2 linked regions of the Neodiprion lecontei genome follow. The protein of the gene in region 2 binds, or shares a complex with, the protein of the main gene of each other region. Links are inferred from orthologs where the notes say so. Each region holds a gene or a part of one and is shown on either strand. Other genes may lie near its edges.

Evidence for each region. Proteins that work in one complex are often made in the same cells at the same time.
Region 1: the proteins of dihydrolipoyl dehydrogenase, mitochondrial (region 2) and lipoamide acyltransferase component of branched-chain alpha-keto acid dehydrogenase complex, mitochondrial are in contact, whole or in part, in a crystal structure (PDB 3RNM), measured with the Homo sapiens proteins. The link is inferred for Neodiprion lecontei from reciprocal best matches to the Homo sapiens genes DLD and DBT. Residues at the interface, in NP_000099.2 of Homo sapiens: Ser446, Thr447, Asp448, Arg449, Glu472, Tyr473, Gly474, Ser476, Glu478, Asp479, Arg482; in NP_001909.4 of Homo sapiens: Thr174, Pro175, Ala176, Lys196, Arg199, Leu201, Lys202, Glu203, Leu206.

Annotation. Positions count from the first base shown.
Region 1 is NC_060264.1:33,776,419-33,781,828, reverse strand, and holds lipoamide acyltransferase component of branched-chain alpha-keto acid dehydrogenase complex, mitochondrial, read left to right. Parts: upstream 1-1,951; 5' UTR 1,952-2,083; coding exon 2,084-2,194; exon of another isoform or gene 2,195-2,198; coding exon of another isoform or gene 2,199-2,201; intron 2,202-2,306; coding exon 2,307-2,434; intron 2,435-2,569; coding exon 2,570-3,131; intron 3,132-3,239; coding exon 3,240-3,635; intron 3,636-3,714; coding exon 3,715-3,948; 3' UTR 3,949-4,581; downstream 4,582-5,410. Other genes in the region: transmembrane protein 45B, read right to left, coding at 4,804-5,410. UniProt on the Homo sapiens protein: The branched-chain alpha-keto dehydrogenase complex catalyzes the overall conversion of alpha-keto acids to acyl-CoA and CO(2).
Region 2 is NC_060263.1:37,791,716-37,798,223, forward strand, and holds dihydrolipoyl dehydrogenase, mitochondrial, read right to left. Parts: upstream 4,667-6,508; 5' UTR 4,551-4,666; coding exon 4,509-4,550; intron 3,673-4,508; coding exon 3,384-3,672; intron 2,933-3,383; coding exon 2,566-2,932; intron 2,408-2,565; coding exon 2,063-2,407; intron 1,981-2,062; coding exon 1,889-1,980; intron 1,770-1,888; coding exon 1,444-1,769; intron 1,310-1,443; coding exon 1,244-1,309; 3' UTR 904-1,243; downstream 1-903. Other genes in the region: dedicator of cytokinesis protein 3, read right to left, coding at 290-326. UniProt on the Homo sapiens protein: Lipoamide dehydrogenase is a component of the glycine cleavage system as well as an E3 component of three alpha-ketoacid dehydrogenase complexes (pyruvate-, alpha-ketoglutarate-, and branched-chain amino acid-dehydrogenase complex).

The DNA.
Region 1 (5,410 bases), on a different chromosome or scaffold from region 2:
ATGCCACGCTAGTCCGCATATTGCATCCGGAAAAATCAATTCCAACCATAGCCACAACGCAGTTACAGAGATGGGCGGCATTTTTAGCTGCATTCAATTACAAAATTACGCACACAAAAGGAAAAGATAATTATGCAGATTGGCTGAGCAGGCTTTCCATACCAAGTGACGATGATAAAAATGATAAGAGATTCGCAGTTATACAAGACATGCCAGATACCTTTTTGAACAATATCATAACATTCGATTTCGCGACATTGGATTGGAAGCAAGTCCAAAAAGCGACGCGCGAGGATAAAGTGCTGTGCAAAATTTTAACATTTTGTTTGAATGGATGGCCTGAAAGGGAACCAAAGGAAACAGAAATAAAAGTGTATTGGCGCAAAAAAGACGCGTTAGCGGTGGAAAATAATTGTTTATTATGGGGCCACAGAGTAATTATACCGAATAAATTACGCACTTTAGTTTTAAAAGAATTACACTGTAGCCACTTTGGAATACGTAAAACGAAAGCGTTAGCCCGTGGGTATGTTTGGTGGCCAAACATCGACGATGATATTGATCAGATAACAAAATCCTGTTTACCCTGCTTAAAAACAAATAAGAAACCGATGAAAATACCGTTAACTTCATGGGGATGGCCAACTACGCCATGGCACCGAATACACGCAGATTTTCTTGCACCAATCAATGACAAAATGGTATTAATGGTAATCGATAGCCATTCAAAATGGCCTGAAGCTTTCATTATGAATAATATGACCGAAACGGCTACAATCAAAAACTTTTCCGACTTGTTTTCTCGACACGGGTACCCGATAAATTTAGTTACAGGCAATTTCCAATCATTTCGTGGTTATAAATTTAAAGAATTCACGAAAAAGCACGGTATACGCTACAGTAGGATTCCGCCACACCACCCAGCGACAAACGGCGCGGCCGAAAATTTTGTAGACACATACAAACGAAAAATTAAATGTATGATGATGAACAACATGAATTTAGAGGATGCCACACAGCAATTCCTACATGATTACAGGTCGACCCCGCAAACGACAACAAATCAGTCTCCGACAAAGTTATTTCTTAACCGTGAATTACGGAATTGTTTCTCGCTTTTATGCCCGCATTATGTACAGGAAACGGTTGATGAAACGCATTCGAGGCAAAAAAAAAAAAAAATTATATCGGAAGAAACCGCTCACATTTCAAAGTAGGAGATATAGTCATGGTTACAGATTATCGGGGGACGCATTCATCATGGGTAAAAGCCAAAGTTTTAAAAGAATCAGTATCAGGGGTAACTTACCTTGTAGAAATTTCACCTAATATAGTATGGAAACGGCATAGCAACCAGATGAAACTGTCAATAGAAGAATGTGTCAAACAAAGTGCAGATGTTGATGCAATACCATTAATGACACGGCGGTCAGAGCGAATCCGAAATCACACAGAAAAATAAGACAACGATTAAAACATTTTTTTTTTTTCTAGTCAGAGAGAGTGTAGTAGTATGGAATACAGGCAATGTATGTGGGGAATATGGGTAAGCGTAGACACGTGTGTATGTGTTCGAGCAAGCGTGTCGATATAGACACGCCAGTATGTACTCGGTATCCGAGGTGTTAAGTAACCGCTGTACGAACCAGTTGGTGAAATAAAAGGAATAAAGCAAAACACAACAGATATCGTTGTCCACCTCATTTATCCAAGATATTACAAGATGATTGAAGAATTCAAACTGACGGGGGAAGGGGGGGGGGGGGGGGATTCCTGAAGCTGCAATTATCTTCACGCGACAAACCACCCAGATTTTTACAAAATGAAGAAATACGTACCTGAGATGTATAAGACGATGCGCGACTCGGTTATGTTTGATTTCGCAGTGCTGTTATCAGTTGTTGTTTCTCAACCGAGTAAGTTACGTAAGAATTAATCGCACCGAGCATGAATCTGACGTTCGTGATTAAATGCTATTCCGTAAGAAGCGCGGCCATTACTTGTACGGTAAGGCGGGCAAACGGAGAACGCTCGTCACTTTGTTTCGGTATCGACGTATAATCAGCTCAACGCTTAACGCGGTATGAATATCGCTCTGATTGCCAGTAACTGCAGAACTGTGCGGTCAACTCGTTGCAACATCGCAATGACGTTCTTCGTTCGTCATCTAGCTACTAGTAGATTGGTTCTACCGGTAAATGGTGCACGTATTATTGCTTATCAGTGATCAATCGTACCGTTACTTTCCTTATCTCGAACCGCTTTAATCGGTATATCGGATTCGTAAATTTTTTGCTCTTTTTCAGCCTAAGAACATCAAACTCGAGGCTGTTCTCAGATCCGTATCGACCTCGGTTTCGCTTCAGGGTCGCGTAGTGCCGTTCAAATTGTCCGACATTGGGGAAGGAATTCGTGAGGTCACGGTCAAAGAATGGTGAGCGACTTCAATCATCTCCCATGTTTGTGTTACACGAAACAAATTGAGACAGCCTGTAACATTCCCGCATTGAAAGTGTCGAACGACAGTATCAGACAGGGTGACAAATGGTTGACTATTTCTTTACCTCAGGTTCGTCAAACCTGGAGACAAAGTGAGCCAATTCGACGAAGTCTGCGAAGTACAAAGCGACAAGGCTTCGGTCACTATAACCAGCCGATACGACGGGATGATAAAAGCCCTCCGATTTAAGGTAGACGAAATCGCTTTAGTCGGACAACCGCTGGTCGACATAGAGCTGGATGACGAGGGGGAACATGGGAGCGAAGAAGTTTCGGGGACAACTGAAATATCCCCCCAGGAGAAAACAAGCCTCAACACTGAACATCAGCGGGGGAGTGAGGCCTCCCGGGAATCCCTGATCGGAAAAGTTCTCACCACTCCTGCTGTCAGGAGAATAGCCATGGAGAAGGGTATTCGATTGAAAGACGTCGTCGGAACGGGTAAAAATGGCAGAATACTAAAGGAGGACCTTCTTTCATACGATGACAACGAGACGTCTGACAGTGACATCGAGGAATCAACCAAGCCGCAAAGGCAGCCTGATAAAACGAATCGAGTCCAAGGAGAGGTTAAAACCGTTGCCCTCAAAGGATACGCGAAACACATGTGGACAACGATGACACGCTCTCTGGTGAGTCCTACCGCGTGCCAAAATCTACCCAGAGTCGAAATCTTAAGGACTCTTAGGACACATTTGTTGAACAATTCATTGCACAGATTGTAAAGAATTTCATTTCAGAGCATCCCGCACTTCGTTTACAGCGACGAATGCGACGTGACGAAACTCGTCAAGTTAAGGGATGAGGTCAAAGCCGCCATGAAGGAACGGGGGATTGCTCTGACCTACATGCCATTCTTCATAAAGGCGATATCAAAGGCTCTTGAAAAGTTTCCCGAACTCAATGCCAGGCTGAACGAAGATACTCAAACCGTCGAAGTACTACCGTGGCACAACATATGCGTGGCCATGGATACTCCGGAGGGTCTGGTCGTGCCCAACGTAAAGAACGTTCAGAATCTCGACGTCGTGACCATCGCTAAGGAACTCAACAGGCTCCAGGAACTCGGAAAAAGGACAGCCATACCACCGAGCGACTTGGCGGGTGGCACATTCACCTTGTCCAACATCGGAGTGGTAAGTAGTGTTTAAAAAATGTAGAACACAGAGATGAAGAGTAGTGAAAATCGTCAATTTTATTAATCGTTGCACACAGGTCGGCGGGACGTACACAAAGCCTGTGATATTACCACCGCAAATAGTAATCGGTGCGGTGGGAAGAACACAAAAACTGCCTCGTTTCGACGCCGATGATAAGGTAGTCGCAGCCCAGATACTGTCGGTTAGTTGGGCCGCAGACCATCGGGTGGTCGACGGTGCGACGATAGCTAAATTCTCAAACCTCTGGAAATACTACTTGGAGAATCCCGCGCTGTTGGTAATGAACTGATAATGATGACGAAATTAGCGCGAGGTAGACTTTTAAATTTCGAACAACTGTACGGCAGGATCACTGCTGGGAGATTTCTCAGGTCTGATTGTTTTTGTACTTTATAATACTACAACTCTTATGGTAGAAAAAACAAAATCGACATTCAAATATCAGTTTTTTAAATTTATTCGAAAGTGTTGACTTACAAATTTCATATAGGCAAAATATTTCGATCGTTGTAAAGAACATTCACATAAACATGTATGTACATGTAGATGTACAATATTTTTGGAAGAGCAGATCTCGAAGTTCAAGATCTGGATAACAGTGTACAAGATTTAACAACGCTTATATGCATATAAGACTATACAATATTACAATTACACGGTATTAAAATACATCATGATTACATATATCATGTGAGGCACTGGCAATTGGCGACTGGTTGAATAATAACACTTTTTCATTGTATGTTACAGTAATATCACAAAAAATATTATATACAAATTTATTGTATAAAAACATTGTTTACCTTAGGCACGTTAATAACGAGAACAACTTGATCATGTGGCAATAAGTATTAGATACTAAAAGCGAGTTGCTGTAAAGACGATCGATATAGCTAAATAAAATTGGTACGTGAATCGACAATATTATCAATTACAATATACGAGTAAAAATTGAGTAAATAAAAAAATTAATGAGAAAACAAAATGAACCACTTGAGACGTCTTTACAGGTTGCGAGCAAAAATAAACAAGGCACATTTATAAAATAGCTAATAAATCGTGTTACTGTGATCAGAGATCAGAAGTTGGGATCTATCAAGGCGACCTGGCTTTTTCATGTATCACAAGCTGAACAAATTTGGCCCTAAACTCTCTGATCTACGTCATGGCAGTAATCATAGATGGGGATTTCGGGAGGATCATCAGGCCTCAGTTTCGGCGCGCAACTTCTTGTGACCGCGACTACGCAGAGTGTGACAATAAATGAAGCTGCAAAGTGCCAGGAGAAGGAAAGAGCTAGAGTCTCGATTTTCAGAGATTCAAGATTACATTCCACAAGTGTGGCAAAATTGCATTCCACCCTGGTTCTGACCATGTGAGCGAGCCAGCTACCGTGAAGCAGAGTGGAAGCTGCCCTGAGGAGCTTCATCTCGGGCCAGACCAACTCGAGAACGACGGCAAAGGAGCTGGTCCAGACGATCCTAGCCAAGACTATCGCAGAGTTATTGGACTGGCTGGTCCACAAAAATAAAAATCCCTCGATAAAGAAGGCCTGGGCAAGCGCCATTTTGGCCAGACCGTCGCTCACGACGTGGGGAAAGTAGAAAGTGAGAACATCGACGAGGCCTGAGAGCGCAAAAAAGAGGTAAATTGTAGCGTGCACCACCTTCGGCGATGGCGCCGTCTCAACGCTGTTAGGCAAGTTTCCCGTGAGGGTGCTTGCCAAGCCCATCGCGGTCGCTAATAACTTG
Region 2 (6,508 bases):
CGCCCGGACGAGGTGATGTGACGGTTTTGAGTCTGCAGAGATCGTTACGTAGGTCGGCGAAACGAGGGGATGGAGATGAGAAACGGACGCGAGAAGATTTGGATTCGCGGATTTTTAATTACGGAACTCTATAATACCGACAGCGATCGTCGAGACAGAAAACAATTGACAGCTCGGCGTATCCGGCCCATCTATCTCTCAGTATGTCCGTATTTCGTACGTTATTTGACAGTTTCGAATTAGACGAACGAAACGCGTCAAGGTTTTGTTGCACTGTTGTTAGACTTACCAACGCCATACTTCGTCGTCTTTGTCGGTGTCCACATCTTGATACTCGATATCGGACAGGCTACATCCTTTAACTTCTAGCTTGTTACGAACATTTTTCTACCGTGTTATTCTATCACGCCGATATTACCCTCCCGAGATATTCGAAAACACAAACATTGGGTGTGTGCTGCTGCCACACACCACGCAGCAGTTGCCCCTCGGCTCCGTTCAGCTCTCGGATCAACCGTATGTCCAACGATGTTGCACTCGCGGTCCAAGATGCGGCAGCACTGGCTTATCCAATTCGATTCCATCCTCGCGTGCTGCCATCCCTCGCTTCATCGAACAACCAGCGTCATTCGCTTTGTGCGTGGAATTCGAAGCGCAGGATAGTCCGACGGTGTGATGACTGAAGATTTTTTTAAACTTCTTTCGCTTTTGCTTAAAGACACTCAAATATTAATCAAATACGGAATTTCGCCATTTCGAACTTTGTGCAAGAATGATATTCCGGGAAAAAATTGAACTTGTCTGTAACAGCGAGTTATTATAAGAGTTCTTAAAACTTGCGAGTTTGCGATTTGATTGATATCCGATCAGGGATAGAGGTGCTATTACATTGTTGAACCTTGATACGGTTTCCACTTGCTCGCAAAAGCAGATAGGGTTTTATTGTTTGATATTTTAATAAATACATGGGGGTTCGTGTGATATTACGTTAGTAATAGAACTGTCGGTTATCGTAATCGGAATCCCCGGGATCCCGCATTGCGTAACGATATTTACTTTATTTACAACCTTGTTTTATTTTGCTTGGTGTTTTTTCGTCTTCTCATTGCTTCTTTCATCTGACGGTATTGCCTTTTAGCTAATTACGACTTGCTTACACGATATTATTACAACTCGAACTACCCAAGTGGGGCGTTCACGATCTTTCTTCACAACGCTTCGGACTATTGCCGTGTAATATTTCTTAGAAATTAATAGGCTTGCCGAAGTACGCCGCGAGATGAGCCTCTCTGAGAGCCTCGGAGCACGTCTGTAATAAAACAAAGGAAAAATTAATTAAGCGTTCCTTTCTGGTTGACGATAAATACGCTTTGTAATCACAGCCATTAGACGTATGGATCGTTTTACGTAACCCGTCTGTAAAGTGGTAAGTATGTTACGTACCGGATGGGCGTGACAGACTCTCGCGACGTCTTCAGCACTCGCGCCGTATTCCATCGCCAAAACAGCCTCGTTAATCAGCTCTCCAGCGGACGGTCCAACAAGATGAACACCCAAAATCTTATCAGTGTTACTGTCTGCCAACACCTTGGCGAAACCGTCCGTTTCCATATTGGTCTTAGCCCTAGAATTGGCTAGGTATGGGAACTTTCCTACTTTGTAATCGATGCCTTCTTTCTTCAGATCCTCCTCGGTTTTGCCGACCCAACCGACTTCGGGATGCGTGTAAACGACACTTGGTACGCAGTTGTAGTCGATGTGAACAGCGCCTTTAAAAATACACGACTTGATTGGGATTTACCGTGAATTAGGTGAATTCTAACGATTTGCGGTTTGGTTTGCAGGTTTTTCAGTAGACCAAGGGGAGTTTTCTTTTTTTTTACTTTACCTCCGGCGATGCCTTCTACCGTGATGATGCCTTCGTCTTCGGCTTTGTGCGCCAACATAGGTCCATGGATGCAATCTCCGATGGCGTAGATGCTAAACAACGAAAAAATAAATCAACATTGAGTTGAGCACCTTTTTTGAAACTGAAGTCATGATACGAAGAGCGCACACTCACTTTGGTATGACAGTTTGGAACCGATTGTTAACTGGGATCCTGCCTTTTTCGTCCCTTTCAATACCAATATCTTCAAGGCCGAGATTGTTCGTGTATGGCCTTCTGCCGACGCAGACGAGCAGCACGTCGCAACCCAATTCTTCCTTTTTGCTCGGATCCTTGGCGTCTTCGATCGAAACTTTGATTTCACCACCGGTTTTCGTTGCTCCGGTAACTTTGGTTCCCAACTTGAATTTCAGACCCTGTTTTCCCAATATTTTTTGTAAAGTTTTACTGACTTCTCCGTCAATACCAGCACCACCAATTGACGTCATGAACTCAACGGCTGTTACTTCTGAACCCAACCTGTCAATGTGAATGAGTCGATATAGTTTTGTCTTTGTATTCCTTGTTTGTTAAATTAAGAATTTTAGAAGCTTTTAGATGAAGAAATAATTACAAGATTTTGAGGGTTGTATTTTACAGTACCGAATAATAACTGCCATGGAAAAATGGTAAAATACCTTTGCCAGACTGAGCCGAGCTCCAAGCCGATGACTCCAGCACCAATAACTATCAATCGTTTTGGTACTGGATTTAATGATAACGCGCCAGTCGATGAAACGATTTGTTTTTCGTCGACTTCGATACCAGGGAAGGGTGTCACTTCGCTGCCCGTAGCGATCACAATATTCTTGGTGTTTATGGTAGTACCAACACTGCCGTCAGGTGTTAGTGCGGAAACTTGATTTTTTCCAGTTATTTTTCCATGTCCCTTAACCCATTCGATTTTGTTCTTTTTGAAAAGTCCAGCTATTCCGCTAGTCAAGGCTTTCACCACGTTCGTTTTTTGCTGCAAGAGTTGGTCCAGATCTAACTTGACATTCTCGACTGTGAACATAACGAGGTAAAATAAAGTCGTGTTGCAAATAATCATTGCTATTTTCAAAACTATTGCATACAGTCGAAAACAACATATGAAAATACCAATAGGTATTTCCTCTTTTTTTTTCAACTTACAAAATAGAAGAATTAAATATGCGTAATTTTTTATTGTAATTTAATTAGTTGAATATCAAATTTAGCTTTTCACATACTGTTATCAGCTATATGGATAAGAGAATATGAAATGCAGACATGGCCCAAACAAATCTAGTAACAGATGTTACCAAAATCTAAATGTGAGAATACTCGAGGATATTAATCTTTTACAGATGCATACTTATGATCTAGAAATGTGTAGAATTTCCTTGATTTTCCTAAATTTTTTTCAATAAGTTTAAAAAAAACGCCAAATATTTTGTGATGATCCAAGTCTTTACAATCCTAACAAACTACTTGCCTACGATTCCACGATCCTTCAAATCTCCACTGTGTGCCATATGATAATAGTGAGAATTGTTAAGGAGAGACTTTGATGGAATACATCCAACGTTGAGGCAGGTTCCACCGAGCGTTGGGTCCTTTTCCACACACACAGTTTTCATGCCCAATTGGGCGGCCTTTATAGCTGCTACATATCCTCCAGGACCTGATCCAATCACTACTACGTCAGCATCGATCGAGCTGGCATACCTTCGCTGCTGAGCGACCGAGAGTACTGGGTTTACAACTCGTTTGACGCATGCCGGCTGGTGTGGAGAAAATTTATTATTTATTCAAAAAACGTGATGAAATTTGAAAGTAAATATGATCGAACAGATAAATGTCTTGTATATAAATACAGGACACGATTTTCTTCTGTGTGTCACAGGTGTATCCGAAAAATAATTCTTAAGTAAATAATAGAAAATAGCAAAGTTATGAGGATCGTTATTTCTATTTTATAAAGAGAACATTAAATTTTATTCAATATTCTGCTACCTAGATGTGCTGTAGAAATGCTTCACATTATGTCAATCCAGGTTGACTTTTTCTTTCCTACAATTAATTCGTCAATTTACGGGAACAATTTTTATGCTAAATAAATCTAATTGAAAAGCTATTCAAATTTTGAAAAAATTGAGGATGCACCTTTACTATTCATTGTTTCAAAATAGTTGGAAAGACGGTAGTTTTCTTTTTTCATAAATATACTGTAGATGTTTTCATAAAAGATGAACAATTCATCGTCAAGATATTCGCCTTATTGGAGGCGGAAACGACCGGATATCTAGTCCCGAGTTCAGGAAAGAAGTGATAAAACTGTAGATTTTAAGCAAAGGATGATTTGATTAAGGGTCGGATAGATAGATCGTGTTACAAAAATTGGCATAGATCCGGTAGATAATTTTCTGCCGAATAAGAGTTAAGTTTTAACTACACAAATGACATAACCAGGATTGCAGAGCAATGGCTTGGCTTATTAGCAGACGATTGCCCTTCACGGACATGCGAAGGAGAGAGGAAGAAGTGGGCGATGAGAAATTCAGAAACCTTAATAAACAAATAACAATTGCGTAAGAATTATACTCGTTTAATTTCTCACCCGAACGGACGTGTTTACCAGGTTCCAAAGGCTCGCCTGCATCGCAACCCTTCGTCGATATTACAAGTTGGTTCAGTCAGGGGAAAAAGAGGGGTTAGACACCTTAAATAGAAGGAAAACCCCGAATACTGTGAAGTTGCAGATGGTCTCAATGCTGGAATATCGATACGGGTTTGGGCTATTCGATACTGCGCAACTTCACGCGGAACTATGATTGGCCCGCGACGAGGTGGTCCCAACGTTTCGACCAATCACGGCTCTCGACTTCTGGCTGCAGTACAGGTCGCGTTGTTATCGGTTGGTGAACACACCGCGTAGCATTTAAATCTCGAACGGATGAGCGGTGGCGCCAGTGTCCGCAATTTTTGATTACGTCAGTCGGATGAATCCGGCTGAATTTATTAAATCTGATTTACGGCGGCCAGGCGTCAGCCATTTGCCAGTGAGATTTTGAGACCATGATGTACCCAGTGTAATAAAAGACTCATGCGGGTATTTAAGCGAATGCGAAAAACCACGCGAGTTATTACCGCTCAACGCAGTGAAGGAAATCGGTCGTAACTGTCTTTTTAAAGTTTTTCGTAACGCGGTTCATTGACTGCTTTCTATCAAAGAAAAACGGTACTTTCCCCTTTATATTGCAGACAATATGGTATACGCACATTTAACGATGAAAATTATGCAGCAAACTTCGCGCTAGATTATGTGTTTAAGGAACAGGACGGAAGTAACGAATAAACGCAAGAGGTTTTCACGCTACTATCGATGAGCATTATAACGGAACGGAAAAAGAAACTACCAGGAAATGATTCCATTGGACAGTTTTTTTTCAACGTATAGATTATCGATTCAATCGAACTCCGAGAATAATTTGATTTTAAAGGATGTCAAAAATATTTCATATTCGAATGATCCGATGACCTTGCACGTAACGGACGTCGAATCAATTGGGTGACATGCAGACTGTGGCTTTCATTTCGCTGAGGCGCGCTGTGTGTTCCTAAAAAGGTATAATGTCAGCACTGCAAATTAGCCTTATCGACGCTCTCCGTCACTCGTGTGACTTTTTTGCCATTTCCTATCTCTCTTGAAAGTGAAACTCACAGTACTGGCAACATATTTCGGAACACATCCCCCAATGTTGCCACAACAGTCTCGTAACTCTCATCCATGCGTTACTGACTTGAATCAGAACTGTTTTCGCAATATTTTTTTCACTTCTATCGACACCACACTCGATCTAACGAATTCAATGAAACGCCTGAAACCAACTTCAGAGTCTAGAATTTAAAAGCTCAATCGAATCAACCACTCGATAGCTACTTAAGGTTCCTATAAACCAGATGAGTGGTTGTCTGAGGGGAGAATTTGCGATTAAAAATGCGTCGAGGTGGTCGTAAAGCTGACGTCATCGCGTGACAAGCATCCTACAAGATTAAGGATCTTGGAATGTGATGACGTCAGTAGTCATCTTCCACGTTCTGCTAGCGTCCAGACGTTCGATAGATACTCCGACTCTCCGTCATATAGCTGAGCGTTTGTCGTGACGTCGTTAAAGTCAAGAGGATGGCAAGCCGTTTCTGAAAACTTGACAAAAACTAAAGAGAATTTGAATTTCAACGGATTGTAATTTTTTTTTTTTTTTACCAAGAATCCGAATAAATTACTTCAAATCCATAGCACTATTGTTTAATAAGAATAAAAAATTGAGGTAAAACAAATACGTGCGTGCATTGTTAAATTTTTCGAGTTACACGATTCAGGTTAATTATGAAGGAAATGGTCTATCTGCTTAAAAAAAAAAAAACTTGCGGCGTTCCCATTAGTTACGATTGTGTTGCTTCAGTCTTCAGATTAGCGATTTAATCCATACCGGTCAGAGCGCATCATGAGTCAGATTTCCTCACCGAGTGAACTCAGGGTGTCAAGTCACGATGAAAATTGCATTGACAATGAGTCCTGCCGCAGCTGAAACGGTCCCGCAATGGAGTAAAATTTAA